Arabidopsis thaliana: one gene and its partners. The protein of the gene in region 2 interacts with the protein of the main gene of each other region in a pairwise test. Each region holds a gene or a part of one and is shown on either strand. Other genes may lie near its edges.

Region 1 (8,209 bases), 2.7 Mb from region 2:
TTATCCTCACTCGAAAGATTCCAATCAAGCCTTGGACCAACAGTGGCCAGCTTCGCGATGATCTTATCACAGGCAAACACACTCTTCAGTCTTCATCTCTCTTTTTTCTCTCTTCATATGGAATTTCTCTAAATTTATAGTTTTGTATTGGAGCAGATGTTCCGAGGCTGCAGCTATCTGAGCTACAAGCAGCCTGCGAAGATTTCAGTAATGTCATAGGATCTTTCTCAGACGGCACCATTTATAAAGGAACTTTGTCCACTGGTGCTGAAATCGCTGTGGTGTCTATTGTGGCCGGTTCTCGTTCAGACTGGTCCACCACCATGGACACACAGTTGCTACAAAAGGTATCAGAACCTCGTTTGCACTTGTCTTGAACTGAGATTTGCATTGCCATTAATGAACAACTGCGCTCTGTTTCTGCAGATGCATAATTTATCCAAAGTGGATCACAAGAACTTTTTGAATGTGATCGGTTATTGCCTTGAGGAAGAGCCCTTCAAGCGAATGCTGGTTTTTGAATACGCTCCCAATGGATCACTCTCCGAGCATCTGCACTGTGAGGATTTCATCTCCTCAAGAAACCTTGTTTGATTTAACTCGTACACTCTTTGAACTGTTTGAACTGATCTCTCATCTCATGGCAGCTCAATACGTGGAGCACTTGGACTGGCCTACCAGACTCAGAATCGTCATGGGAATAGCTTACTGTCTAGAGCACATGCACAATCTTAACCCACCCATCTTGCTCTCCAATTTGGACTCCTCTTCTGTGTACTTGACTGAAGACAACGCCGCCAAAGTCTCTGACTTTTCTGTCATCAACTCCATATTTCCCTCTAAGGAGGGTTCCTCGAGCAAGAACCTTCTAGAACCCTCGTTACTTGATCCCCATACCAACGTCTTTAACTTTGGTGCCGTTTTATTCGAAATCATCAGTGGAAAATTACCAGACCCGGATTCTATGCTTCTCGAACCCAAGCCCACAAGAGATATTGTGGACCCGACACTGAAAACATTTCAGGAAAATGTTGTTGAGAGACTGTTGGAGGTGGTTAGGCAGTGTTTGAATCCATACTCAGATCAGCGGCCGACAATGAGAGAGGTTGTGGTGAAATTGAGAGAGATAACTGGAATAGAAGCTGACGCAGCAATGCCGAGGCTGTCTCCACGGTGGTGGACAGAGCTGGAGATCATATCCACAGAAGGAAACTAAAGAGAAAGGAGCCGTCCTTTTAGGTGTCCCCTGTATATATACACAAATGACACTGTGAAGTGATGATCATCTTTTTTTGTTCCTCTGCATTAAAAGACTCTTTACTGTATATACTAAAAAGTTGGTTTTGCATAGAAACCATTGGTAAGATTAATAAATGGCAGCTTCTTTACAGCATCCATTTATAGAAGAAGAAAATAAAAGTTAAATCTATTTATAAGATCCCAATGAAATATACAAATGGGATAATATGGTTGATACCTTCAAATTAATCTAAGCCAAAAATGGTGTTGTCAATGGAAGAAGCTTGATCCTTGGATCTGCTGTAGAGATGGAGCGTCTCGGTGTGGTTAGGGTCCAAACAGAGAGCAGCTTCACAGTCTTGAGTGGCCAATGACAGATTCCCAGTGGCCTCGTGAAATGCTGCTCTGAGATGCAGCGTTTGCAGTTCTGGTCTGAAAGCTATCGCCTTTGACAGCTCTTCCACTGCTTCTGTCTCTCTCTGATCATCCATCAGCACTGCCACACATACGATCACTTCTTTAACTACTAGAATTTATAAGATGTTAATACAGAACAGGAAGAGTTAGTTACCGGCAGCTCGGTATCTGTAGGGATAAGTTCGCAGAGGGTCGAGTGTTGTGGCCATGTCAAGATCTTCTTTGGCTTTTTCACGTTCACAGTACTCAGACCGTTTCTCGTAGGCTGCTGCTTTGCTACACGACTTCTCGATCAGCTTTGTCATCTCCTCACAAGCTTCTTTACGTTGGTTCTTCAAAAAATAAACTCGCGCCAGCCCTTGGCGTGCACGAGTGTGTTTGATCTCTATAGCGTTCTTATATGCGGTTTCAGCTTGATCTAGCATCCCCAAATTGATGTAGATGCTCCCAAGGTTGTTCAGAGCCTGCAGAAACATAACAAAACGACTAATCAGATTACAGTGTGAATAAGAGAAAGAGAAAGGCGAGACATCAAAATGCCAACCTGTCCTTTGCGTAGCCCATCTGAAGGACACTTGAGGGCTTCCTCTAGAACCTGAACCACACAAGAGATCTCGTCTGCATCGAGATTCTTGTCAGCTAGAGCATATGCTTTGAGGAAAAATGCTTCAAAGGATCGCTGAATAGAGATTGCCTCCTCAGCTTTAGTAAGAGTTTCTTCCACATAACCCATGTCGTATAAAAGCCACCCTTCGTAGACCAACCTTTCTGCCTCAGAAGTAGCCAAGTTCCATGCCATTCGCAAACACCTCATCGCGGCTCCTTGACAATTCAATCTGTTACAGATCACAAAAAAATGTAGCTTCCGTCAACTCCTGAAGAATTCACCAATCAGGTTGCCAGAGAAACAAAAGATATTCTTCTTACCTTAAGAGAAGAAGAGATTGTCTAAACCTCAGAAAGTTTTTGCTGGGATCATTCTGAAGCATCTGATGAACAACAGCCAACGACGCAACATCATCCACAGCTGACCATCTATCGAAAAGCCTCACCCAACAATCCGCTTCACTCTCTACTTCAATACATTGCGCGGTCAGAGCCTCCACCAAATCATCTCTCATTTTCCCACCAAACACAACATAATTGGGCTCTAAAGACAGCACTGCTCTAAGATCTCTCAAACAACTCTCCCGGTCACCAGTGGCTAAATACAGCCAAGCCCTCAGCTCGAGACATTCTGGACTAAGCTTGAACTGAATTAATCTATCAATCTCTTGGAAGGCTTCTTTAATCTGCTTCTGTTCGAATTTCATTACGGCTCTGTACTTGTACGGAAAAGACAGTGTCGGGTCAAGTTCAGTGGCGGTTGCTAAATCTTTTAGTTTCTCAACTCCAACATTGTACAGAGACCTCTCCTGGTACATCCATCCATGTGGCTTGTGATTAGAGATGAGAAAGTTCATGAGCCTGTACGCCGAATACCTCTTCCCTTGTTTATATTCAGTTCTTGATACCCCAGCCAAAGAGTAGACATGCCCTAAGCTTGAAGCTAATCTGAAATGAAACTGGGCTGCTTTGTAATCCTTTCTCTCAAACAGAACACATCCCATTTGATGCAAAGACAAAGCCTTTTGCCAGTTTGTACGAGCAAACTCTCGAGTTCTCTCTAGCAATATCAGCATAGTGTCCGTCGTGAGTTTCTCTTCCATGCCTACTTGGCTGAGGAAGTAGTACAACAGGAACACACACTCTGAACCCAGAAAAGCTAATTGCTCTTTTGCTTCGGAACTGCAGAAGAATCTCATCACTTTGGGATTGTGAAGAGACTGAGGAAGCTCTCTCAGAAACACCTGCAAGCAAGCAGATAAGAGAAGCGTTGTGCGTTCCTCCAACGCGTACTCTACAAAGGTTAAAGCTTTATCAAGGTCAGTGACAGAAGCAGCCAAGCGAGCCTCACATTCAGACTTCAGATCATCGCAACAGAATTTGCTGGCTAATTGAAGCAGCTCAAATACAGTTTCCACACGAAACAGATCAACTCTTTTGATTCTACTATATATGTTGAGTGCCAACATTGCCTCAATAGAGATGCCATTTTCCGAGAAATCAATCTCAGAAGTTGTTGATTCCACGAAAGAACCATACAACATGGCCTCAAAAGGACGCGAAAGCGCTGCGATTCTCGACCTAACACACTTAGCCTTCTCTGAACCTACGCAGAAGGAAATATCGCTAACCTCATCTAGACCCGAAAACTCATCAGCCTTAGAGATTTTAACGTCATCACTACCAAATTCATCCTCACATACCGTAGAACATTCACAACCCTCGTCGTCTACATTCAAATCACAACCATGAGTCAAACTAGTCTTCGGACATTCAGAAGCAAGCCCATTACAATCCATAGATTCAACTCCCACAAGTTCATGTTCTCTCCTAAAAAATCTCAACCAAGCAGAGAAAACAACCTTACAAGGGACATCAATGGCGTGCCTCCTAGCGTTGAGAAGGCACCTACGCAAGAGCTTGGCATCACCGAGACTGCGGAGAACAGCGTACTGCTCAAGGTAGAGCATCGATGCCTCGGATTCCGAACTGGACTCGATTCTCCGATATAGATTTGATAATGACTCCACCAAATCGATAGGTTTGAGGTAAGAGTCCAAGGGAGGCTCGAGGAGGTCTGTGGTGGGAAAGCCATGAGGGAGAAGTGAACGAGATTTGGATTTGGGATGCCCAAGGAACTTCATCATTCGAGGGCTACCATTGCTGCTTGTAGAGGGAGAGTCTTGTGTAGTAAAGGCGTGGACTTGAGTGCTTTTAAATCTCTCAAAGAGTTTGAGATTGCGCATTTTGCTATATCACAGAAATCTGAGAAAAGGGTTTGATTTTGAAGTAAAGAGAGAGTGAGGGAGACGGAGAGAGCAAGAGAGAGAGAGAGAGAGAGAGAGAGAGAGAGAGAGAGAGAGAGAGAGAGTTGAAAACACAAGCTCTGTCTCCGGTGACAACACACAGTGCAGAGACAAAAAGGAGAGAGAGAGAGAGAGGAAGAAGAAGACGATGAAGTGTGATTGAGAATATAAATTATTTTTATAAAAAGGTCAATAATTTGGGGAGAAAAAAGAGTAATGGCGTCGATTTTTGCAAACCCAAAAAACATTTATATGGAAAAAAAATGGTCGAATCTCATATCTGTTTTTCTTTCTTTTATGCATTTTTTTGTGGAACAGTTTACGAACTTCAACAGTTGGTGGTTCTTATTGGGTGCGATACGAACCAGACCACTTTCCTTTCTCTTTCCTTTTTGTGTAAAGACCACTTTCCTTTTTTAAAACAATATTTTGTTTCTGTTTTTTTGGTGAGGAAATATTTTGTTTCTTTGTTAAATTGTTATTTTTTTCCATATTTGAAGATATTGGTATGGCTTTTAATTTGTGAAAATTTGGGTTTATTACAGAGTTATATGATGATTAAATATAGTTTAGAGAATTATAGATGGTTGGTTCGTTTCGGGTATAATTAAAATAAGCCTCTCTGACTATCCAACGTCATTGATTCATGTGATGCCAAGATAGGTAGGTTAACTAGTTATGTGGTTTCTTATCGGTTATCTCCTATCTAAACAATTGAGCTTAACATTAAACTTTGAAGATATTAACTTATCTCTCTAATGAACGAAAAAAATTCAGTTTTATTGGTTGATTGGTTATGATTTCAATGACTAACAAAGAAATGGTCTTTAATTTATGTACAGCATGAATTTACTCAATTTATTACATACAACATGATTTCAAAAAATTGCTTAAAATTTTGCAAAACATTTCTTTACTGTGATCACACTAATCATTTGTTAATCTGGTGTCTACTTTTTTACTCGCTAACGTGAGCGTGTATATTTATATTTTCTGAGATCTTCATAGTTTTAGGTTTTTAGCTTGTAGTTAGTTTTTTTTGTTCTCGATATTGGACCAACAACTATCAGGAAACGCATAATTTATTATATATATAAAAAACTCTCATAAAACGTACTGTATTAAAACAATAACAAATAAAAAGTGGAGAGAACTATATCCAGAACCAATTCTGATGTTCTTTTGCCCGCACACCTGGAAAACACATGCAAGTGTACTCTTTAAAGATAAACATATATACCATTTGCGAAATAATTGAGGATTTTTTTTCTTTTGCCAACAGATAAATAATATAAGATTGTTTCAGAAAAAAAATAAAGATGGATAATTGAGGATTAGGTTGGCATTATTTGATGCAAAAAATACTAAAGAAAATCTCACATTGAAATCAATTAAAATAATTTTCTTATGGTATATACAAGTTGATGCAAAATTGATAAAAGATTAAACAAGGCAAGAGACGTGTGGTCATGTGTCTCGGCAACCCATGTGAGGGAATCTGAATCACTTTTTTTTTTTTTTTTTTTATGTTTCTCGAATCTGAGTAGCACAATAATTGAATTGTGTTTCGTAACTAAATTAGGGATTTATTAATCATGAAAAATTATTTGATGAAATCAAATTGTGGTCCGTCTAGTTGACTTATACCAGCCCAAATTATTTAGCGAATATAAAGCCCAAACTAGGCCCACAATAACAAATTATGCGTTTCCTCAAACGAACACCACCATGTCATGAACCATTCTAGCCGAATCCAAATAGAACGAAACTAAAATTGCTTTAATCCATATGTGACCAGATAAAGTAAAACACTCCTTTTGGGGAAATAAATATCCACTTTTCACCATCTTTTTGGTAAACAATAAAACAAACCAAATTTTGTGTGCTTGAGCAACAACAACTACCAACCAGTTACTGTCAAAAAAAATAAATGAAAACGTAATCGAAGAAAAGGTCGTGTTTTCTAGTGTTGCAGAAAATGGCAACTACTAGTACTACTACAAAGCTCTCCGTTCTCTGCTGCTCTTTCATTTCATCTCCTCTCGTTGACTCTCCTCCTTCTCTCGCCTTCTTCTCTCCGATTCCACGATTCCTCACTGTCCGAATCGCGACTAGCTTTAGATCGAGCTCTAGGTTTCCGGCCACCAAAATCCGCAAGTCTTCACTCGCCGCCGTGATGTTTCCGGAAAATTCGGTTTTATCAGATGTCTGCGCGTTTGGAGTCACTAGCATCGTTGCGTTCTCGTGCCTCGGTTTCTGGGGAGAGATTGGCAAACGTGGCATCTTCGACCAGGTTTTCGATCATTCAATTCACTTAATTAAATTATACACGCGTCGATTTGTTGAATAACGTTTTTGGAATGTTGCTCGATTCTGCAATTTCTGGTTAAAGCAACTTTGGATTCAGAGTAATGGTAGTAGTAAGCTTTATCGAGTAATGGATGGCATTAATGGCGAGGATAATAAATCTTATTAGTTCAAGAAATTATAGAATGTGAATGGATACCTATTTTGGGGTGGAAGAACACTGCGATAAACAATGGGAAAGTAACCCCATATCTGGTAAATTAGTGGGAAAATTGCTCAGAACCCAATTTGGGGATGAAATTTTTTTGAAATTCGTGCGGTATAATCACAATCTCATCGTAACTTGAAGATTCAACCATATTTATGATATATATGAATTTTGTAGGTTTAAATGTTGCACAATTTCTTTGCTATACTTTGAAGGATTATTTCTTCGTATGAGTCAGTCTATACACATATTGGACATGGCTTGTTTTTTTTTCCTTTCTCTTATGTGTTTCTCCGCAGTGACTTGTTTTTCTTCAAGTAATTTGGTTAGGAGTAGAGGAATTATCTATGATTAGCAAAAATTCTATTAAACATTTTTGGTTTGGGAATACCTGTATGGCTTCAGCTACTTGATTTTGTTTCTCTGACCTTATCGTGATTAAGATATCATCTCAGAACCCATTGAATTTATAAGATCCACAGGCTGTCTGATGTAGGACTGACTCCACTTTCATGGTTTTATTGAATGAGGCATTGGTTTAACATCTGTGGTTGACATTGGTGTTATTTCTTATTTTTCAGAAACTCATCCGGAAGCTTGTGCATATAAATATTGGGCTAGTTTTTATGCTTTGCTGGCCGCTGTTCAGGTAATAATACGGAGTGAAAGGATCGATTTTGATGTACCAGCTTGCTTTTCTGCTTCACCAGTTTATTTCGATATCAATTGTTTCAGTTCTGGAATCCAAGGAGCACTTTTCGCATCTCTTGTACCTGGACTCAATATAGTAAGGATGCTATTGCTGGGGCTTGGAGTGTACCACGACGAAGGAACAATCAAGTCAATGAGCAGACATGGAGATCGCAGGTAGCTGAATCGAACAAGTGTCTGTCACAATATCCAACAATCTCTTAGCATTCTTGGTATCTATGATCAAAATTCGGTTTGTCTGTTTATTATTGCTTTTGTCACTTCACAAAGTGTCTGTAGTCGCTCTCTGCATCAGGGAACTACTTAAGGGGCCGCTTTACTATGTACTGTCAATCACATCAGCCTGCATCTACTATTGGAAATCATCCCCAATCGCGATTGCGGTGATATGCAACCTTTGCGCAGGAGATGGTAA
Region 2 (7,095 bases):
CATTTTACTACTCATCACTCCAATATATCAGTGGTACTCATATATTTATTGTACAATCTCATTCAGACATATCAGCCGGAATGAAAGTTCAACCATCTAATAGGCTAACACACTAGCATTGCTTCAAATTTCTTAAACACGCTAACATTGTAACAACATAATAATAATGACACAAAAATATACATTTGAGGTTTTGAGAGAGTGCTAAAATGGGACCTACGTTTTCATTTCTTGGAACATGAATAGTGGGAATTAAGAAAAACAAAAAAAATCGAAAAAGAGAAAGATCACGATGGTTGTCACAAAATGTTGTTGATGATGTAGGGAATTGGTAGGGTCTTATAACCTATACTTTTCACATGCATTCTTAAACCCTATTTCTACTGCATCTCCATGTGCCTCCCCTCACGTCTCTACCTTCTCTCTCTATCTGTTTTTTTTTTTCAATCAATAACAAAAGAAATATTACATCATTTTCCCTTTCATCATATCTTTAACCAGCTAAAACAAGTTTGAAGCGAATTTTGCATATATACAGTCCCAACTTCGTCAATTATATTGAAGTTCGTTATCTTTTTTTTTTTTTTTTTTTTTTTTTTTTTTTTTTTTTTGTATGTGTATGTGTGTGTGTGTGAAATATCGCGATTAATAGTTTAAGAAAATTCTTCATCAGAATAATAGATTATAATATTTTCAAAGATTTACTTGTTTTTTGATTATTTTGATTTTATTAAAATCATATTGTTGAGACAATGGTATTATGGTCATGAAGAACCTCAAGTGTTTTATGTATCAATTGGCAAATTTCAGCACAAGTGAATTTTTTTCTTGATTATTTTCTACTGTCTATACATATAAAATAGAGAATATAATATAACAACTTTGAGCTATAATTAGAATCTGTTGGAAAAAAATGAAAAAATATAACAAATATATTCTATCTTGATTTTTCAAAGTATAGAATCTAAAAAAAGCTATATGATATTAATTATCCAATTATATGATTGCATTTATGAGTTGATATGATATCTTTTGGTTGTTTCATAAAACAGAATCAAGAATAAGATGATCAATACCGAAATATATGGCTTCATCATCAAATATTATTTCACATGTGATTCTCCAATGTATCATTATTAAGAGTTGTTATACGAGGACCCATTTTTTTCGCAGCAATCAAATCAATTTGAGCTTTTTAATTAAAATCTTCAAAAATAATCTGAGAAAATCACAGCGTCTCATTAATTATTAAAAAAGTACTTCAAAAAAGTGGATATACGATTTTGAAATGATAACGATTTCCTGACGTCAGAAAAAATCCTATAACAAACATTAATGTTTTTTTTTGGTTAGTTAAGAGACAATAATATGTTACATCTACCAAAGAATATTCCAGTTAAGTTAGTTAATAGTTGGAGTCAAACTTAAACGAACAACGTCGCCTACAAATCTGGGGGTATAAGTTATAACCAACGGCCACCAACATGGGTTTTGATATCGTCCACCTGATTTTTATGTTAATATAACTCAATTTGATTGATTAAATATTATGCTCTTATACTAATCATTCTAGGTCCAAAACTGAATCACTCATTGCACATCATTTTTATGATTTTTATTTTGAAAATCTCATGTTTCAAGAAATATTTGTGCATTCTACTAGTAGCTTATTTTAAATAAAGTTTCGAGTTTATATAATAAACAATATGTTTATTTCTTTGATTTGTATACATTTTAAAAAAAAAAACAGGATGAAGATATATACAACTAAAGCTCAATTCAACTAGTAGGAAAATTGTATTCTACAAAAAATTTGTGTTTATGTTTTTATTATGATAACCATCCAAACTCATTATTTCACCCATGATCAAAGTAACTATATCAATATATCTGCAACAATATCTGACTCAACATTTATTTTTACATAAACTGCGGACCAACACAATTATGCTAAACTATCATCATTTATTCTATTGGTATTGGAGATCAGTCTACGTCAGTGAATACCGCATAATTCACATGAAACTAACTCCAAAACCCTTTAACCAAAAAAAAAAAAAAACTAATTACAACTCCGGTTAACCTGTCGATAATTACAAGACTGAAAACATCCTAGTCAGTAAAAAACATATTTGTATGTATCCGATCCCACCAAATAAATAAGTTGTTGTCAATGATAGAGGAAGAGAAAACGAAAAAAAATTGCGGACCAAGACATTTGGGACTACTAGAGTTTAGGGAGCATAAATGGTCCTATTTGACTTACCCTCTACCGTATAAATAAATGTATTTTAGCCGTATAAATGTATACATACGTAGATGCATAGGTATACAGGATTACTTTAGACGATTTGATGTCGGTATGACATTACATTTGACTCCCCTAGCTCCACTTGTCTCTGTTCATTTTTCTTGTATGTCATTTCCTTGTTTTCCAATTTTACGTTTACCACCCTATTTTATTTTGTTAATATTTTCTAAGTCAACGTGTTGACACTTAATTACAGAATCTGATAACTAAAGTTACATAAAATGCTCACAGTTTTTTTCAGCAAAATACTCACATTATACGACATATAAAATTTTAGCAGTCTATAAATAGTAATTATTTGGCATTAGTATTGGACAAGAAGTAGAATATAAATTAATGTTGGTTCTTTTTTCTATCCAACTTCACACAGCCAATTTTGTAGCTGACATCGTGAATGGACGACTAAACTAATCATAAGCATAGTGATTCAGTTTATACAACAACAACAAAAAGTTAATTACATTTGAGGTTTCTTTTTAAATTGCTATGTTTGGTCCCTAAATGATGGTCATAATAAGGACGGTCCGGCGGTGACGGAAACGCGTAAAGACTAATCATTTTAGTACTATTAATTTGTAGAATTATTATTAAATATGCTTGAATCCTAGAAAACGATCAAATAAATTTTGGAAAGAAGCTCAAAATGTGTTATTTAATTTTGTCCCTATGTAGAGCTGGTTTTTTTATTTTTATTTAAACATAATCCTAAGATTTATTGCTGTATGTGTGAATGCAATAATAAATAGAAACTCAATAATAGATCATTCTTATTTTCAAAAAGAAACAAGAACTACTGCAATGTTTTAATTGTTTATTTTGTATTAAATAATATAGCTTGTTAATTATTGGAGATCGCATTAAATAATAAAAGAAGTTGTCTCACATGTCTTGGAGAATATTTACTAAAAACTATGGTAATGTCTGGACGGTCAAAAAAGTCTCTCTAGTTTCTGATTCTGTTGTCACATTTTATTTTTGAAATTAAATGTCGTTAGATTATTATTATCTATATATATATATATCCCAACAGACCCATTGCTTCTCCAACCACATCTCACTCTTCACCAACTTAAACCCTAATTCAAGATCTCTTCTTTTCGTTCTCTCCTTCACCCACATTAGTCTTCTCTACGACCAAAATCTCTTGACTTTAAAAACAGAGAATGAAACAGCTTTCGACAAAAGTGACAAGCAATGGTCATGGACAAGACTCATCCTACTTCTTGGGATGGGAAGAGTACGAGAAGAATCCTTATGATGAGATCAAGAACCCTAATGGGATGATCCAGATGGGTCTAGCCGAAAACCAGCTATGTTTCGATCTAATCGAGTCATGGTTAACTAAGAACCCAGACGCGGCAAGTCTCAAGAGGAACGGTCAATCCATTTTCAGAGAGCTTGCTCTATTTCAAGACTATCATGGCATGCCTGAATTCAAAAAAGTAAGCTTCTTTCATTTTTCTCAAATTCAATAAAGAGAGTAACCTGACGTGTATCACAAGTAATGAATCCATTTCTCATGAACATTTTCTGTCATTTTTTACAGGCTATGGCTGAGTTTATGGAAGAGATAAGAGGAAACCGTGTCACGTTCGATCCAAAAAAGATTGTTTTAGCGGCTGGTTCGACATCTGCGAATGAGACTCTCATGTTTTGCCTTGCAGAGCCTGGCGATGCTTTCCTTTTGCCTACTCCTTACTATCCTGGGTAAATTACACTTCTCCTCTTTACTTGGATTCCAAGTAAACCCAATAGAAATATATGCTTACGTCTAGGCTTTTTTATGATTACAGATTTGATAGAGATCTTAAATGGAGAACCGGAGCAGAGATAGTACCCATTCACTGCTCAAGCTCTAATGGCTTCCAAATCACGGAATCAGCTCTGCAACAAGCTTACCAACAAGCCCAGAAACTTGATCTCAAAGTCAAAGGAGTTCTTGTCACGAATCCATCTAACCCACTTGGCACTGCGTTGACCAGACGTGAACTTAACCTTCTCGTTGACTTCATCACTTCCAAGAACATTCATCTCATTAGCGACGAGATCTATTCAGGCACTATGTTCGGGTTTGAACAGTTCATAAGCGTAATGGATGTCTTGAAAGACAAGAAACTCGAAGACACGGAGGTTTCAAAACGAGTCCACGTCGTTTATAGCCTTTCTAAAGATCTGGGACTTCCTGGTTTCCGTGTGGGAGCGATCTACTCCAACGACGAAATGATCGTTTCAGCAGCTACAAAAATGTCAAGTTTTGGTCTTGTTTCTTCTCAGACACAATACCTTCTCTCTGCATTGCTCTCCGACAAGAAGTTCACTAGCCAATACCTCGAAGAGAACCAGAAACGACTCAAGTCCAGACAGAGACGCCTCGTGTCTGGTCTTGAGTCTGCAGGGATTACTTGCCTGAGAAGCAACGCGGGTTTGTTCTGTTGGGTCGACATGAGACACCTTTTGGACACAAACACATTTGAAGCAGAGCTTGACCTCTGGAAAAAGATTGTTTACAACGTGAAACTAAACATATCACCCGGTTCTTCATGTCACTGCACCGAACCGGGTTGGTTTAGGGTTTGTTTCGCTAATATGAGCGAGGACACACTCGATTTGGCCTTGAAGAGGCTCAAAACTTTCGTAGAATCCACAGACTGTGGACGAATGATATCAAGAAGCAGCCATGAAAGGCTCAAGAGTTTGAGGAAGAAGACAGTCTCTAACTGGGTTTTCCGGGTTTCATGGACCGATCGTGTACCTGATGAACGATGAAATTATTCATCTCCCTAAGTTTGAGACGACGAACAAAAGAAAACTTCACGGTTTTTTCTTCTTCTTTATTTCCTTCATTTTTTATATTTTGGGAAAGTATTTTTAATTTTCCAAGATATCTATAATCATATCATTATATATGTAATATTTTTTTTAATGTTTGGGTGAGTCTTTAATTTATGCAATTTTTCGGGTGTAAAATTGTTACTATGTGTTATTATATGTTTTTAATGCACTCAATCCGAATGTGGATTTGCAGTGGCTATATATATAAATAAATATATATCCCGTTGTAATTTTAGTGAAACGTTTGTGTGTATTGTACCCATATATAAAAATGTAATTCACTCTTTTTAGTTTATATATATTTTGTTTTATAAATATGGGTTTCTTTAATTTTATGCTCTATCATTTGGTATAGTTTTTGAGTTTGTTGTGAGAATTCTCCTCTGACTATAAGGCTATAAAGATCGTGTTAACGTTGTTGGTTAAGGACGTTAGTTGAGGCATATCAAAAGGAGGCTTAATTTAATGTCAATTAACTAATTAATTAATCATTATATGGTAATATGGCGGGAATTGTCGAATTGGTCAACTGAGAAAGCAAAAGGGGAAAGTCAAAGGTTTTCCACTTAGGTGAATCAAGAGAGAAGGTATGATCTACTTGTCGAAAATATTCGATGAAGCCTAAATAATTTAGTTAAAAATCGACTAAAACCCATTAACAATTTCGGGGTAAAGGTAGCTTCTAGCGTTCTACGGCAGTAAAGTTTTGAGCTTTGAATAGGTACGTTGCATTGCGTAAGAATGTTCACGTCACATATTTGAACTAAAATTACAAGTTTACAACGAAATCCACATTTTTTTTTTGTATAATCAAAACTTACTCTATCAGGATTAACGTAATTATAAGAAAAAAATGAGCAACTTATGAGAAACCGAAATCTGTATATCGAGAGCCATGGTTGATTGATATATATGTTAAGGAGGATATGTCCCAATGATTACAATGATTATAGATTTATACATTACAATTCCAATCATCGAAATCAATAATTTTCAAAAATTTGAGGATGAAAAGGCTCCAATCATTTAAAGAGAAAAGTCTTTATAACCATTTTTTTTTTCTTGTGAAATTATTTCCCGAGGGATAAAGTAGAGGATAAAGTGTCATATCATCATAGGCTAATCATTATAGTATAAGATATAAGATACCGGTCAAATGTTATTATGCTAAGCCTATCACATAAAAAAAAAACTAAAAAAGTGCCATGAGCTTTGTTGGTACTACGAAGAGTAGACTACGAAATATATAATACAACTTTAGTAACCGATTTTGTTTTAATTTTAGCATGATACGCGGCTATACCGGCCGTAACGGCAAATGATCCTTACATGTGAACAGCATTAATGTGGTGGTTGAGTCCCCAAAAATCTGTCTCAATTAATTAACAATTCGATTATAAAAACTTAACAGAGATATGTAGTAGCAGTACGTACTTTGAAAAATAAGAGATTGAGAATTTGGTTGGATTTGAGAATCCGTGAATGAGTAATACTGATTAAGTAATATTCTACTTAAAAGTCTTTATTGCATATGACCGACCATAACTATACAAACTGACATTATGAAGTCGTTGTACCAGAAAATTTTCGTCATTGTCATGGTCGTAGTCTACTTGCTACTATAATAAGCGACATTGGAATGATATTTGATATTATCATTCCATAAATTGTTACGTCAACTGGTGCCACATACTAATCATATAGTTGGTAATGTAAGAATACGTTTTCTTGTAAAAATGTTTAAAATATTGTTTTACCCAGTTCTAAAAGTAGATATAGATTATGGAAGTTTATCTTTATCAACGTATTGTAAAGTAGATATAGATTATGGAAGTTATGTACATATGCATGTCAAGTTTGAACCAAAATTTCAGTCACGTGGGCTTCACGAGTGAGGCCATATAACTGCACATGCCATGACACAGAAACATATAACATCTCTTATGCATACA
Region 3 (9,049 bases), on a different chromosome or scaffold from region 2:
ATTTAGTTACTTGAGTAGTGTATATAATGCACATGTATATGTATAGTCTCAAAAGCAAGAAGACGACCATGATGGATTATTCTCCAATGTCACTATCATGTACACATATATGTGTGTGCTTACAATAAATGCAAAGACTGTTTGATTCCCATTTTTATTAGTTTTTCTATGTGCAGATAAATACCACAGAGGAAAGAGATTGTGCTTGAAAGTGAGACTTTGACTTTGTTTTCATATATCTTTAACTGTTTTTTATTTTTTATTCCTCAGTTTTATTCTTTATTTTATGTAATTTTTTAAGTGTTCTGCATTACAGAGAAGAGTGATGATTACAGGTTCAGACTATAAGCATTTACTTGAAATTGTCTACTAAAAAAGAAGAGTAGACCCAGAAAGAAAAAAAGCAAGCTATCAATTTGTGCAATTAATGGAAAATATTGTGAGATGAGACTTATCAGGCCTAATTTCCTTAAATGGAAGTAATAATCACTTTTATATCAAGAAAAGTGTGCCTCTTTTCAATTTATTGGGGTTTGAATAATGGAAACTTTTTTTGTTTTGTTTAAGTTTGTAAAGAGAATCTAAACACACAATTACTTAGCCAAAATAAACGTTGTTCTTATAATAGAAGAACTAAATTTAGTAATACAACCATTGAGGAATATCTAATAGGAAACTATCTACTGGAAAATTAAGTATCCAAGATGAAATTGTTTGACTTATTGCCAAGAGTATAAGTATACTTGTTCAATTGTGCTATTTTCTATTTGTATTTCCTTATTACTTTAGCTAGGGATTCTAGTTCGATTTTATTTCATGTAGAAAAAGCTATAACTTTCTTCTGAATTTGTCTTTAAATATTATTATATTTTACTTGTGTGTTATTATGAATTTGAGTGATGTTACTTTCTCTACCAAGGCTGCTAAAGCTTTATCTTTTTTTTTCCTTATAGTTTCTCTCATTCCCATAATATACCCAAAATTCTTAAAAAGGCACACTGATTTGAATGAAACTTATCATAAGCTATAAAATAAATTAAAACAACGTAAGGAAATAGAAACTCATTGTAAAAAGGGAACATCATACAAAGATTCTAACAAAAAAAAAACAAATTTAGGTTTAAAGCTATTTCGCCCTAAAGACGAATTAAACAACTTTATTGTCTATTTCTCTAATTTAAATTTAAATTCTGATTATACAACATCCTTACATGCCTCCTAACTTAAGTTTGAATCACTCACAAAGATAAAAGAGAGTTGTATTTGTAGGGGAGAAAAATACATACACTCAAAGCAACCAATGCCCTAAAAGCATTTTGGCTTTGAATATCAAAATGGAATATATCACTTTGTTGAATTTTGTTTCGTCTTCATATGATTTACTCTTGTGGATGACTTTGTGGCTTTGTGCTATCTTCCTCTTCCTTTTTTTCCAACCTTTATAAGTTTTTGATTAATATTCTTAATATATCCCTTTGAAAATTGTTCATGTCCAAAAAGAAAATACTTACCCCACCAACAAGAATTTTTCGCACTCTTTCATCCGTTCTTTAACTTTTTATCTGTTGAAATTTTTCTATAGAAAAATATTCCAATGAAGAACATTTTGTTAAGTCGATTTTGTCCTTAGACGTGTCTTGTACCATTTGATTCATTGGGATAGGCGTGTCTACTGTAGTAAAATTCAGTTTATGATGGAATCCCTTTAGGCCAAAACAAAACAAAACGTGTGACCATTATGAGACACGAGCGTAACTAAAACCCATGCAACACCGAATATTCTTCTTTTAAAATTTTCATAAAGGCTTTTTTGAATTGTGAAATATTCTGAAAATATATATGCTATACGAAGGAAATAAACACATGAATATTCGAATTCTTGTAACAAACAAAGGGAAAATTTTATATTTTAAAGTAAAACAGGGAAGAAACTAGATCATTTGAGGACAAAGAAAACTAGTCATCAGTATTATAGTACCCATTAAGCCCAAGTTATTAACACTACAACTCTAGAAGCCCATCTAAGCCCATGTTAATAGGTCTTGTAGTAAAAGCTCTTATATATTATATGTATATGTAATGTATGTCATGGGTTAATGTAACAAGAGTACAAACATTCAACCTTCTATAAAACGTAATCGAAATCATTTGAGTCTTTGGTGACAAACCCAAAGCTTTTTCACATTTTCAAACCTAAAGCTTGAAAATAAGATAGCTCATTGGGGCTTTATTAGGTGCAAGAATAATAAAGGAAAATGCTTTAGGTTTGTCACCAAGAACTCAAACGATCTACTTATTGTTTTAAATCAAGTTTACGTTTTAGGCCCAGAGAAATTTGAAGTTTACGATGGAAGGACAAAATACGAAATCGATATATGGAAAACAGCAACAAAGAATAAAAGAGTTACAAGAGATTACAAGTTTCCAACAATGATTCTTTTAGTATTACAATTTTTCACACTTTACTTTCATATCGAAGCTCTTTTGTGTGTGGTTGCGGTTCAAGGTTCATGGCTATTAACACGGCTATGGAGTTCGAGCATCTCCTGATGGTTGGGGTCGACCGAGAGCGCTGCACGACAGTCCCGCAACGCACTCGTGACATCACCGATATGCTCGTGGAAAGCCGCTCGTAAGTGAAGAAGATGAAGATCTGCTTTAAAGGCGATAGCTCGGGATAACTCTGTGATAGCCTCTCTCTCTTTCCGACTATCCATCAACACTATCAAAACCCACAAAAGAATAACGAATAATCAAGTTTCGGTTAAGCCAATTATTTTTCGGAGATGATGAACAAAAAAAGGAGCATAAGAGTTGCAAGTGAAGAAAAACCTGCGGCGCGATATCGGTAAGGATAAACCCGGAGAGGGTCTAACCGGGTGACCATTTCAAGATCAGATTTGGCGAGTTCACGATCACAATACTCAGATCTTTTCTCGTAGGCGGATGCATTGTTTTGAGCCTTTTCGATTAGTCTGGTCATTTCTTCGTAGGCTGCAGCTTTGTCGTTTCTAAGGAAATGGACACGAGCTAGACCTTGGTGTGCACGCGTGTGTCTTACCTTGAGAGCGTTTATATAGCAATCCGCAGCTAAATCTAGCTTCTCGCAATCGACATAGACACTCCCGAGATTGTTCAGAGCCTAAAAACAAAAACAAATAGCATTTTCATAGACTAAATAAGCACAAAACCAAATCGACTCAAGCCAAAACCAAAGTGGACATTTCACAAAAACCAGGCAGTAACATAATTGGCTAATCCTGACTAAACCAAACCCTATCAACCTGAAGCATAGTTTTTCTTTTCACTGATTAACAAATGGATGTACTGATGGTGAACGACCGTACCTGACCTTTGCGCAACCTATCAGAGGGGCATTTAAGAGCATCTTCAAGAAGTGAAACAACAGTAGAAGAACTCGATGGATCAAGGCTAGATTCTGCTAAGGCATAAGCTTGGAGGAAATAAGCTTCAAATGATCTCTTTATTCCAATGGATTCCTTAGCCTTTTGAAGCCCTTCTTCGCAGTGACCTGTATCATACAAGATCCATCCTTCGTAAACTAGACGCTCGTGGTCACTTGAGGCATGCTCGCGGGCTAACTGTAAACTGCGCATCGCTGCTTCTGGACAATTCAACCTGAACAAAACAAAGGTATGACAATGAGATGCTTAAATAATGGTAAAGAACACCTTTATTTAGAAAAATTACCTTAGGAGAAGCAAAGATTGCCTGAAGTAGAGAACACCTTTGCAAGCATCGGATTCGAGCATCTGATAGATTACAGAAAGAGAACCTATATCATCAACATTAGACCATTTCTCATATAGCTGCATCCAACAATCTGCGGTTGTCCAATTCTCGACATGCTCATACACAAGCGTCTGGAGCTGCCTCCCAGCTACTTTCCCATCGAACATTCTATAATCAGGACACAGCGTAAGAGCAGCCTGAATATCACGAAGAGCCGCTTCATAGTCATCCATACCAAGATAAAGACAAAACCGAATTTCTAAGCATTCTAAAGCAAGTTTAAACCCCAAGATCCGATTGATTTCTTCAAGAGCAGCCTTAGCATTTTGTTTCGACATTCGTGTGACAGCTCTATACATGTAAGGATATGTCAAAGTCGGATCCAATTCGGTTGCCTTCTCGAGATCTTCCAATTTCTTGTCACCCTCACAATAGAAAGACCTTTCCTGATACATCCACCCGAGAGGCGGCGAAACAGAGGAGATTACCGAGCTTAGCTTCTCATAAGCCCAAAGCCGATGCCCTTGGATGTATCCTAGTCTTGCTAAACCAGTAGCGGAATACACATGGCCTAAGTTAAAAGCTGTTTCAAAAGCTTCTTCAGCCTCCCGGTATTCTTTCCTCAATAGCCTCATACAACCTAACCGATGGAACCCCAATACTTGTTGCCGGTCATTTTCTGCAAAGTCAACTAATTTCTCCAAGAAACCGAGTGTTCTGTCAGACCGAGGATCTATACACATCGAGACTTCACTTAAACAAGAATATAAGGAGAATGGAGCTTTTCCTGCCATGGTTGAGACTTGAGATCTATTAACTCGAGTCAAAACCTCAACAACACGCTCATCATTCAAACTATCAGGCATCTCATAAAGAAAAACTTGCAGACACGATGAAGCTAGGATGGGGGAATTCTCTTCAAGTGCAAAGTCCATAAGCTCAATGGCACATTCCATAGAAGAAATCAAAGATGCCAATTCTCTATCGCATGCATCTTTAAGTCGCTCGCAGCAAAACTTGTTTGCGAAAACTAAAACTTCCAAAAGAAGGTTCTTGGAAACTCCGATTAGTACACCAACAACGCTGAAATCTCTAACAACCCGCATAGCTGATGAGGATACATGGTTTTCTGACATATCTATCTCATCAAGAAGCGATTCCGTGAAATTACCATAAAGCATAGCATGAAATGGAGCTGAAAGACTCGCAATTTTCCGCCTTTGGCAAGCTATCTTCTCTTCTCCTATCTTAAACACAACATTTTTAGATACACTGCGGTTCGTCTTCACAGATGCTGCCTCAGGGGAAGAAGCAGTAGTAGCTGGGAAATAGGATGCAATATCTAGTGGCACAAATTCTTCAGAATATTTACCACAAGAGGAAAGCAAATCTGTGATAACTTCTTCTCCTTGTTTCTCATACCTCAACCAAGATCCAAACACAACTTTCTCATGGACAGTAGTAGCCTCTTGCCAAGCTGATTGAAGGCTTCTCCGTCTAAGTTTGGTCTCTCCAAGACCTCTAAACACTTGATACTGCAACAAATACAGAATCGATCTCTCCTGCAAAGGGCAAGTGTCGAGTTCTTCATGAATCTGAGCTAGAACTTCTACATAGTCGAGAGGCTTATAATGCGGCAGTATCTGAGGCTCGGGAACTTTGATAAATGATTCTCTACACAGTGGACTACAAAAAGACCAAATATTATTACTCCATATCCAAAACATCTCAAAGTTCAAGAAAAATAAATGAAACTTACGCAGATGAAGAAGCAGAGGAAGATAGCTTCCCTCTCTCAACTTGAAGCCATGACTGTGGATTCAAGGAATCGAGTTGTGATTCTTTACAAGAATCAGAAGGGTAAAAAGTCCTCATCTGACATAACAGATGAAACAAATCCCAGATCTCCAGGATAGCCAGAGGATAGTCAAAACACTATTTTCTTGTCGGTTACACACTACCCAGACCAGAAACTAAGTGGAGATGGGCTACTTAATGGAATCCTATACAAAAAAATCTGAACTTTGGTATTATGAGATCTTACAACACCTAAAGCTAAAAGCATTTCTCTATGAAACCAACCACTTATGTACAGCTGACGGAACAATTACTAAATACATAAGTGAGAATAACAAAACTCACTCGCAATTGCCATTGAAAAGATAACCCTTTGCGAAATTAAGAGGATAAATCACCAAAATTAGAGCTTTCTCGACCAAACCCTAACCTTCTAGCAGTATAACATAATCTAGTGGCTAAACCCAGAAAAATTAAAGAGAGTCTAACAAATCTAAGATGTCTTAGACATCAAAAAGTAAGAATCTTTGAACCAGCGAGACAAGGAAGAAAGCACCAGTGAAGAGAAAACCCTAAAACAGAGAGAGAGGTGTGCTATGGACAGATTCGGACAAGTTGTCAAGTTTGAGCAAAAGTGAATCGAAGTGAGAGAGAGAGTGGGAAATGTTATACAAATTGACACTTTTCTAATTATCTGAGAGCTCTTTTGTTTCATTGGTAAAAGGGAAAGTTTTTCTTCTTTTCAATTGTTTTTGCTCATATGCTATATCTCAACACAAACAGTAACCACCACTATCGGATTCTTAGGCCACTCTTCAAGAGATTGTGAAAAATTCTATTTTTTGAACTAAATTATTATTTTTTCTATTAATTATAAGTTTTTACATTCTACAATAATGTATACAAAAATGATCAAGCATAACAGCCTTTTGTGTCTCAATTACGATTAAAAATATAAACTATGATTAGTCAAGAATCTACATTATAATTATATTTTCATTTAACAAGTTAAACTATCAACTCAATCATTTAACACCACCAAAACCAAAAAAAAAGTTTATAAAAACTAGCGTTAAAATTTAAAACTGCATCATTTTAAGTAATTTCAGTTTCAATATTATTTATCAACGATGAAAATATATCCCAAATTAATTTCTCTAAAAATTTATTTTTGTTTACTTTTTATCCAAATTTCAAATCAATTTTTACTTTTAATTATTTCAGTTTAAATAATTGATTAAAAATATCTTACATATATTGATTGAAAACCCTCTATATTAAATGCAAGAATGATACTATTGATCAACTAATTTTTTTTAGTTAAGTTCTAATTGGAAAAATGCAAATTAATTATAGATAAAATATTGTACGGTTTAAATAGTAATAAAAATATATATATATATATATATATATAAAAAATTTCGTTACTATTTGAAATGTACTGTGAAGTTTGGTTAAGCAAGTATTGTGTTGAGCCAAAAAAAAGAACACTTTCCCTTTGGACACATCAAATCCTTGTCACCGCTTATGCGACATCTCCGGTTGCCACGCGTCATCTACGGTTTAGCCGAGAGCTTTCATGAACTTTCTTCTTCCTCTTGGCATCACCGCTTCTCCCAGGAAAATCCGAAGAAGCTCAAGCAAAGCACCGCATCAACTTTTCTCTCTCGCTTGTGGTTCTCTCTCTGTAGATCGTGATACAGTAGTAATCGAAAGGATTCGAATTTTCCCGCGCGTTCCTTCACTTTATAAAGACTCTGCTATCGTAAATAATGTATCAGTGGAACTTACCGTACCGGAAAGATGACGTGGAAACAGGCGTTAGCTCAAGAAGGCCTTTACTATACCCAGCGATGCATGAAAATCCCGAGCTCCGGTGGGGATTTATACGCAAGGTCTACTCTATAATCGCCTTTCAGCTTCTAGCCACCGTCGCTGTCGCTGCCACGGTGGTCACCGTCCGTCCAATCGCTCTGTTCTTCGCCACCACCGGACTTGGATTAGCTCTTTACATAGTCATCATCATCACACCTCTCATAGGTACAATCATCACGCACACTTGTTTTACAAATCAAAAGTTTCAATCTTTTTCGAAGTTTGGTAATAATCTCAAAAGCTGAAACTTGGATTTGTGTTTCTCTCCGATGTATAGTGTTGTGTCCGTTGTACTATTACCATCAGAAACATCCGGTGAATTACTTGCTCTTGGGGATTTTCACTTTGGCTCTGGCTTTTGTTGTTGGATTAACATGTGCCTTCACCAATGGTATGACTTGATCAACCACTTTTGGTTACCTGTTAAGGATCCATTAGGCAACAAAGTTCTGTTTTTGCTATTGGGGAACTAGCTCTTAGCAAATTTCATCTCTCAGTTTTTTCTATGATTCTGATTGTGTATATGTTTAAAGCTTATTCTGTGTTGGACACAGGGAAAGTGATTCTCGAGTCAGTGATCTTGACATCGGTAGTGGTGCTTTCGCTCACATTATATACTTTTTGGGCTGCTAGGAAAGGATATGACTTTAATTTCCTTGGACCCTTCTTGTTTGGCGCTCTCACCGTGCTTATTTTCTTCGCCTTAATACAAGTAAAGCTACTTATTCCAATTTCCATTGGAGAGAGTGAGAGTTGTAGTCTTTAGCTTATGAAATGTGGTAGTTTTGGTATCATTCTTTAGGCTAAACAGTTAACAACTTCATTTTATATTAGACATTAGAGAGCACAAGATTTAAGCGTATCGGATATGGTAGCATTTTTACGAGACTAAGAAGTGAGATTTCACATTAGACATTACAGATAAGGGATTTAGCCTATGAAATGTGTTAGTTTTGGCAGCATTGTTTTACACTTAGAAATTAGAAAGGCTTGATTTGTCACTGCTAAAGGCAGTACAGAGAATGAGAGCTTTTAACTTTTTGAATGTGGTGCTCTTTATAGTAATCTTTAGGCTAGAATTTGACACTTGATATCACTATAAGCATTGCATAAAATGAGAAACTTGAAACTTGATTTTAAATGTGGTAGCTTTTTGATTGCATAACCAGGTTTCGTAACTTAATTTGGGGTATGTTGTGCAGATTTTGTTCCCATTAGGGAGGGTATCAGTGATGATCTATGGTTGTTTGGTATCGATAATATTCTGCGGATACATAGTTTACGATACAGACAATCTGATCAAGAGACACACGTATGATGAGTATATTTGGGCAGCGGTTTCACTCTACCTAGACATCATCAACCTCTTCTTGTATCTTCTTACTGTGTTGAGAGCCTTACAGAGATGATGATTATTAGGATGAGGTATTTAGCTTATCGGTCTCTTTAAAAATATGTAAATAAGAAAATAAAACTGTACATTTTTGTGGTTACAGTTCACATGTTCATGTGAGTGATTGTAGAGGGAACACAGGAACTGTGGATCATGTAATAATTTATAACGAAAATGCCAAGGATGTGTCATGTGTGTAATGTCGCGAAAGACACCACGAGAAGTGCAAGT
Region 4 (6,530 bases), about 11 Mb from region 2:
GCGGAGGAAGAAGAACAACGTAGTCGTCTTCTTGCAGAGAAACGAGAAGAATCCAAGTGCAAGATGAGTTTCTTCTATCTTTTCCCGAGGAAAATCAAATCGTCTTTGGCGAAGAGAAGATACACACAACAAAACCCTAATGGGGCTTCTACTTGTTCGTCATCGCTTCCCGATCTTAACCTAATCCCTACTGATTTTGAGACAGACAACCTACAAAACCCTTGTTTTGATGAACCTATGGTGTGTGATGAAGAACAACGTTTAAAGAAAGGTAAATCCAAGATTGTCTACGATGAAGATTATGATGACGAGAGTGAAAAGAAACTCTTTGATAATCTTAATGGAGCTTCTACTTCTTCTTCATCGCTCCTGAACCTTCCTTGTCTTGAACCTTCGACAGAGACAAAAGACGTACCAAACCCTAATTACCAATCTTCGTCTCCGTCTTCATGCCTAACAGGGAAGACAAACCGCAAGAGGCGTGCCGTGGAGCAGAGGAAGAGTGGTAAAGTCAAGAAAGTTAAGGTTTCTCCTTTGCCAAGGTTGTGTACAGAGATGCCTGAGTGGATTTTCCAAGTGATGAGATACATGAACGCTGATGCTGAAACCCCGAGGCTGATATTTGAGAGGACTCTGTTTAAGAGTGATGTCAACTCAAACCTTAGTCGTCTCTTAATGCCTTTCCAGAAGCTAATCAGAAACGATTTCCTGACTCCTGCGGAGTGTAGAGCTATGCAGAAAGACGAAGACAATGATGAAGAAGACGACGAGAATATTGGTGTGGGAACGGTTCTTGTGAACCAAAGATTTCAAAAGTGGGGTTTGCGTTTCAAGATATGGGCGATGGAGAAGGACTCTGGACATGGAACATTGAATTACACTTTGAATTGGGGTTGGAATGATGTCGTCAAAAGTAGCAGCTTAAAAGTCGGCGACAAGATCAGCCTTTGGACTTTCAGGTGCCGTGGAGTCCTCTGCTTTGCACTTGACACAGAGTAGCTCTTCACTTGTTCACTAGCTTATTCAGTGATTTTGAGTTTCAGTAACTTATTGGAAGTGTTAATTAACAAGATTAGGATTTTGGTGTGGTTCTCTCCTTTATTAGTAGTAACTTGTCTGTCTCCTATGTTATCTGAGATCTTTTACCATTGTTTGAAATGAAATATTTTGTTATAAATATGGTTTCTTGTTTTCTCTACTTTAGTTACCTTTTATTTCTTGTAATATATTATATCAAAGTATAATGTCATGGAAGTGATCCATTTGCAGCAAGTGTTTTCGTACATTAATTAATCAATTTGAGAAAGTTATCACACTTTTTTAGTTGATCAAATCAATAACCAAAAAAATAGAAAATAAAGACAACTACCATATCAGAAATAACCAAGTTTTGATTTCATTAGAAAGGAGAATAGGAAATATTGAGGAAGCTAAAGGAGGAATGATAAATCGCAAGTAGTTTCAAAACAAACAAACAACAATAAAACTGTGTCTCTTATAAGAATCCTGAGCTATCCCTCACTCAGATTATCACATGAAAGTTTTCTACCATTATAAAATGACTCTTCCTCTTCTTCGGGTTTACTCGGCACCATCGGGCTTTGATGCCTCCTTAATCTCATCTCCTGCTTCGTCCTATTCACCAAAAAAGAAACCATCATGTCAACAACATAACTTAGTGATCAACGTATATTGTGTTGTTAATACTTACAGTCATATCTGAAGTCCAGAGAGTGAGATTGTCTCTAAGAAGCTGCATAATCAGTGTACTGTCCTTGTATGATTCCTCACCCAATGTATCTAACTCAGCGATTGCATCATCAAACGCCTGCACAAACCCAAAATAGCTGTTTCATTCACTGAGATAATAATAACACACGAAGCAAAAAGTGAAAATCAGGTGTACTACACAAACCTGCTTTGCGAGGCTGCAAGCACGATCAGGCGAGTTGAGGATTTCATAGTAAAACACAGAGAAGTTGAGTGCAAGACCAAGCCTTATCGGGTGAGTAGGAGCTAACTCAGCAGTGGCAATGTCCTGCATTATCACAACAACAAAATCAATCATACCCACAAAAGAAAACAACATTCAAAAACGTTGTAAAGAATGACTTACGGAAGCAGACTTGTAAGCAACCAAAGTGCTTTCAGCAGCTTCTTTCCTTTCAGCACCAGCCTTAAACTCAGCAAGATACCTATGATAATCACCCTTCATCTTAAGATAAAACACTTTAGATTCAGCTGGTGAAGCAGAAGGAATAAGATGAGCTTCAAGAACATTCAAAATCCCATCACAGATTTTGCTAAGCTCGGATTCAATCTTTCCTCTGTAATCCTTGATAATAGCAACATGATCTTCGTTCCCTTTGCTCTCTTCTTTCTGCTCAATCGAAGAAATGATTCTCCACGAAGCTCTTCTCGCTCCAATCACGTTCTTGTAAGCAACAGAGAGAAGATTCCTCTCTTCAACTGAAAGTTCCTCAACATCAACAGTTTTCGCAACTTTCTCCATGAATTCAACCATTTCTTCGTAACGTTCAGCTTGTTCGGCTAATTTCGCCATGTAAACATTCTCTTCCCTTGTCGACATCTTCGATTCAACAATCTAGAGCAAATCCTACAAAATCAGAACCCAAAACATACACACATTGATACATTTCTTCACCGATTAAGAACATAGAGAAAATAGGCATAAACAAATGAGTCGAAACAATAACCTAATCATCTAGATTAAGAACACAATGAATCTTCTTCATAGGTGACGAATCTAGAGAAAATTCTTCAACGCGAATCCGAAGTAAGATCTACATACTCGTCTATGTTCTTCACGGATAACGAATCTAGAGCAAAATCGTTCAAAAGCAGAAACAAAACCGAAACCTAAATTTTAACATCCTACACACAAATCGGATTTAGATATCAAACACACTGAATCAGTGATAAGAACAGAGAATCGATGAGATCGAGATCTCCAGAAACATACAATCAAAGATCAGATCTACACGTAGAAGAAGAAACTACGAAACGAACGATGATTAGAGAGAGAGAGATTTACCTTTCTTTTTTTTCGATTGAAGAGAAGATCTGATTCGAATTTTGCAAGTGGTTTGAAAAAATGGAATAAGAAGAGACTGATGAAGATACAATGAGAAATGGAATGATAAATAAATAAAAACTGTTTTCGAGGCGTAGAGTTAAGAGATCCAATGGAAGGTTGACAAGTGTTGGATGCTGAAGATATGACTGATGCATTGAATCTGACACGTGTGTAGCCATGCTAGTGTTGAGATCTGTTATTTGAAATCTGATAAATGGGCCACTGGGCCCAACGGGTATTACAGTATTACAACTTGAGATAACTATATGATGTACAGGACGGTATTATGGGCCTTTAGATTTAAGTTAAATCTATAATTGATCTTAAACAGACTTTTTACATTGTGTATATTTAGAGCGGTGTATTCAATCTAATAATTTATGTAAAATTTATAAATTTTATGTTATTTAATTATGGATTTTAAATTTTTAAATGAAATTGAGTGTTATTAAATTAAAAATTTAAAAATCAACCTTTTTACTGTTACTGAAAATAGTTAGTGGATTTGATTCTTATTAATTTTGAAGGATTTGAAAGGATTTGAAAAGACTTCTTTAGTTAAAAATACAGAAATCTAAATCTCATAGTTTTAGATAGAATTTGAAAAGACTTTACAGTAAATCACATCAACTTACCTAAAATCATCAAAATTATATAAAAACTCACTTATATCTTACCAAAAAATATGTTCTTTAATAATTCAGTACCTATATTTGTCCTAGGAAAGCAAATTCTAGATTAGAAAAATAAATTGAATGATGTATATATCCAATTTAAACTCATACTTTAGCAAAAAAAACATCTCATGTAGCACATTAGCTAAATTTTCTTTAAAAATCAGCATTTTCAGGTTCAAATTCCCGTAGCGGAAAATCTTTTTTTTTTAAATTTAATATATATTTATTTTATATCCCGCTAAGTTTCTTTTTAAATTTTTTTTGGTTTTAAAATAAATAAATTGATCTATATATCCAATTTAAATTCATACCTTAGCAAAAACATATGCACTAGCACATTAGCTAAAATGTTTTTTTGAAAATAAGCATGTCCAGATTCAAATTCCGGCAGATGATTTTTTTTAAAAACAATCTAATATATATTTTCATTTTAACAGAAAATCTGTTGGATTTTTTTTTGATAATCAAAATTTTTGAAAAATCTTTTGGTTCTAAAAATAAATAAATTGTTGAAATTATTTAATTTAATGAAGGCTCCTATCACAACACAAACTGTCATACCTCTTGAAATCCAAGATTAGCAGAGTGGATACGGCATTGTTAAAGCACTGAACGCTATGGAGGCCTCGTCCTTATTTACACAAAACAGTTAGCGAAAAATTCCACTAAGTATTGAAAAGAATTTACCTGAAGTACAACCACACTAGAAGAAAAACTGAGAAGTCTCCTCACCACAAAACTTGTAGATCGAACGAGCTTCCGTGCCACTTTGATCATCAAATGTAGGGTTATCGAATGAGTTTTCTGACCATGGGATGTCCACGTCCAAATAATAATGGTTGGGTTTTGGTGAAGCCCAAAATTAAAGTGTTTAAAATGGATTACAAACCATATAAGCTCGCTAGTAAATGGGCAAAATTATTTAGACATAATTTGTGCAGTAATAATTAAAAGCTAGGGTTTAATTATTTAGGGTAAAATTTTAAGATTTCTCATTTCTCTCTCGATTTGAGACAATTTCAGAGACGATTATGACAGATCTCAAAGGCTCACTGGTTCCACCATTATAAGTTCTTCATGAGCAACTTATATGTCTTTATGTTTGTGTTGATGTGTTAATTGATGATGGGTTTTTGTTGATATATTAATTGATGGGTTTGTGTTAATTCAAATGTGCAATAATTGATATTGCATAGCTTGAGGCTATGAGAAAACAATGTAAGCGCCAATAATTGGATCTGAATAGCGGTTTCGTTTTAGGCCAGATCTGTTAAACCAGATTCGACATACCATTCCTAACTCGAGATGAGTCATATAGAACCAAAATATCCACTTTTAATCTTAGCTAATATTGGTGCATCTGAGACCTAAAGAGAGGAAGGATTCAAAGGCTAATAATATGATAAAAGAGGAGCATCTTCAAACCAGATAAACTATGATAGTTTTAATAGTAACATAAACACATCAACTCCCATGAACATAAACATGAAACTGTCAAATGGCATTGGAGAAGAGATTATCATATTAAAAAGAAGAAGAAAAAGAAACAGAAAGATGGTCTGAGTTTAGAGGGAGGAATGGATTTGCTCTGTTTATTGATCTTCAAACTCATGCATGTGATCTAGAAGGTAATTAGCTGCAAGTTCTTCATTCTTGTTACACGCAAAGAACACTTCCAAGACCATCGCACGATCAAACCCCATCCCTTCAAGCTAAACCAAAACAAACAACAGCAAAATCAAATTTCAATACAAGCCATATATTTTGAGGAACCAGAGCATCTAGTAAAGGTACAAATGTAAAGATCATAGGAACAAACCCGTTCAATGGCTTCACGCTCTTCAGGTGTAACGGTAACAGCTTGTGGCATTGCTGCTTCCAACTGTTCCATAACATTCCTGGTGGCATCGAATGAAATGTCAGATTACATGCTTTATTGAGAAAAAAGAATAAAATGAAAACGTAAAGGAGAATCATGATATTAAACCCACTCTTCTCCCTCGACAGGTTCGTTTATCAAGCGTAGGAAGTCAGCCTGGTGCTCTTGAATTAGTCGCACAAGCTGGGGGTTTTGTTTACCGAGCTCCTGAAGCATAGGCTGCAAAACGAAACAGTATAAGTGGGAAATCAATATCATATAACCTACCAAATAAAGAATAAGAGGTTAAAAATTTTACCTGTAGAATTTGTGGGTTTGCTTGTACCATAGCTCGCAAGGCTTGGAACTATGAAAAGGCAAAAGAATTGCAAATGACATAAGAGGAGAGAAATGAAGATTTCCGTTCTCGAATGGAAAAGAAATTGAAAATACCTGTTGACTGTTACGCAGGAAATCAAGATTACCAGCTCCAGCACCAGCATCTGCAGCGGGCATGCCCTGGATAGAGACAGATAAGAGTGGATGTCAATAAAACAAATTCACAAGGGAAAACGAGCAAATGAAATCGGTTCACCAGTTTAAAAACCCTACCTGGGGGAACAGGTTTAATGGATTTGCGTTTGGACCACCAGTTGCAGCTGCTGGAGCTGCTGCTTGTTGGGGCTGTGCTAGAGGATTGGCTGCCTGTTCCCCAGTAGCTGGGGCTTGAGCAACTGGTGGGATTTCAGCTTGAGCAGGGATACCCTGAAATGTATCAACCAAAAGTTCAAGAGCAAATGTTGCTTAAATTCTGGCAAACCGCAAATCAAAGGTAGATACAATATATCAAAGAAAAACGTAAAATCAAGAAGTGGAATGAATCATACCGAGTACAGGT

The links.
Region 1: the proteins of ACS5 (region 2) and EOL2 interact in a two-hybrid assay, tested with the Arabidopsis thaliana proteins (one study listed by BioGRID).
Region 3: the proteins of ACS5 (region 2) and EOL1 interact in a two-hybrid assay, tested with the Arabidopsis thaliana proteins (one study listed by BioGRID).
Region 4: the proteins of ACS5 (region 2) and GRF3 come close enough for resonance energy transfer, tested with the Arabidopsis thaliana proteins (one study listed by BioGRID).

What each region holds. Positions count from the first base shown.
Region 1 is NC_003076.8:23,663,967-23,672,175, forward strand, and holds EOL2 (ETO1-like 2), read right to left. Parts: upstream 4,921-8,209; 5' UTR 4,509-4,920; coding exon 2,584-4,508; intron 2,493-2,583; coding exon 2,201-2,492; intron 2,121-2,200; coding exon 1,811-2,120; intron 1,736-1,810; coding exon 1,485-1,735; 3' UTR 1,329-1,484; downstream 1-1,328. Other genes in the region: AT5G58540 (Protein kinase superfamily protein), read left to right, coding at 1-72, 157-347, 427-559, 648-1,216; FOLK (Phosphatidate cytidylyltransferase family protein), read left to right, coding at 6,547-6,861, 7,665-7,732, 7,819-7,950, 8,090-8,205. UniProt on the Arabidopsis thaliana protein: Potential regulator of the ethylene pathway, which acts by regulating the stability of 1-aminocyclopropane-1-carboxylate synthase (ACS) enzymes.
Region 2 is NC_003076.8:26,329,078-26,336,172, reverse strand, and holds ACS5 (ACC synthase 5), read left to right. Parts: upstream 1-3,360; 5' UTR 3,361-3,474; coding exon 3,475-3,753; intron 3,754-3,857; coding exon 3,858-4,018; intron 4,019-4,104; coding exon 4,105-5,077; 3' UTR 5,078-5,427; downstream 5,428-7,095. UniProt on the Arabidopsis thaliana protein: 1-aminocyclopropane-1-carboxylate synthase (ACS) enzymes catalyze the conversion of S-adenosyl-L-methionine (SAM) into 1-aminocyclopropane-1-carboxylate (ACC), a direct precursor of ethylene.
Region 3 is NC_003075.7:1,178,701-1,187,749, forward strand, and holds EOL1 (ETO1-like 1), read right to left. Parts: upstream 6,313-9,049; 5' UTR 5,629-6,312; coding exon 5,513-5,628; intron 5,440-5,512; coding exon 3,712-5,439; intron 3,640-3,711; coding exon 3,348-3,639; intron 3,143-3,347; coding exon 2,833-3,142; intron 2,723-2,832; coding exon 2,502-2,722; 3' UTR 2,223-2,501; downstream 1-2,222. Other genes in the region: AT4G02690 (Bax inhibitor-1 family protein), read left to right, coding at 7,323-7,590, 7,703-7,816, 7,980-8,137, 8,628-8,834. UniProt on the Arabidopsis thaliana protein: Possible regulator of the ethylene pathway, which acts by regulating the stability of 1-aminocyclopropane-1-carboxylate synthase (ACS) enzymes.
Region 4 is NC_003076.8:15,406,337-15,412,866, reverse strand, and holds GRF3 (general regulatory factor 3), read right to left. Parts: upstream 3,184-6,530; 5' UTR 3,056-3,183; exon of another isoform or gene 2,718-3,055; intron 2,618-2,717; 5' UTR 2,591-2,617; coding exon 2,117-2,590; intron 2,039-2,116; coding exon 1,916-2,038; intron 1,829-1,915; coding exon 1,712-1,828; coding exon of another isoform or gene 1,708-1,711; intron 1,636-1,707; coding exon 1,582-1,635; 3' UTR 1,266-1,581; downstream 1-1,265. Other genes in the region: AT5G38490 (B3 domain protein (DUF313)), read left to right, coding at 1-999; RAD23D (Rad23 UV excision repair protein family), read right to left, coding at 5,367-5,486, 5,594-5,672, 5,766-5,872, 5,952-5,999, 6,086-6,151, 6,245-6,397, 6,520-6,530. UniProt on the Arabidopsis thaliana protein: Is associated with a DNA binding complex that binds to the G box, a well-characterized cis-acting DNA regulatory element found in plant genes. Involved in the regulation of nutrient metabolism. Reciprocal negative transcription regulation of miR396.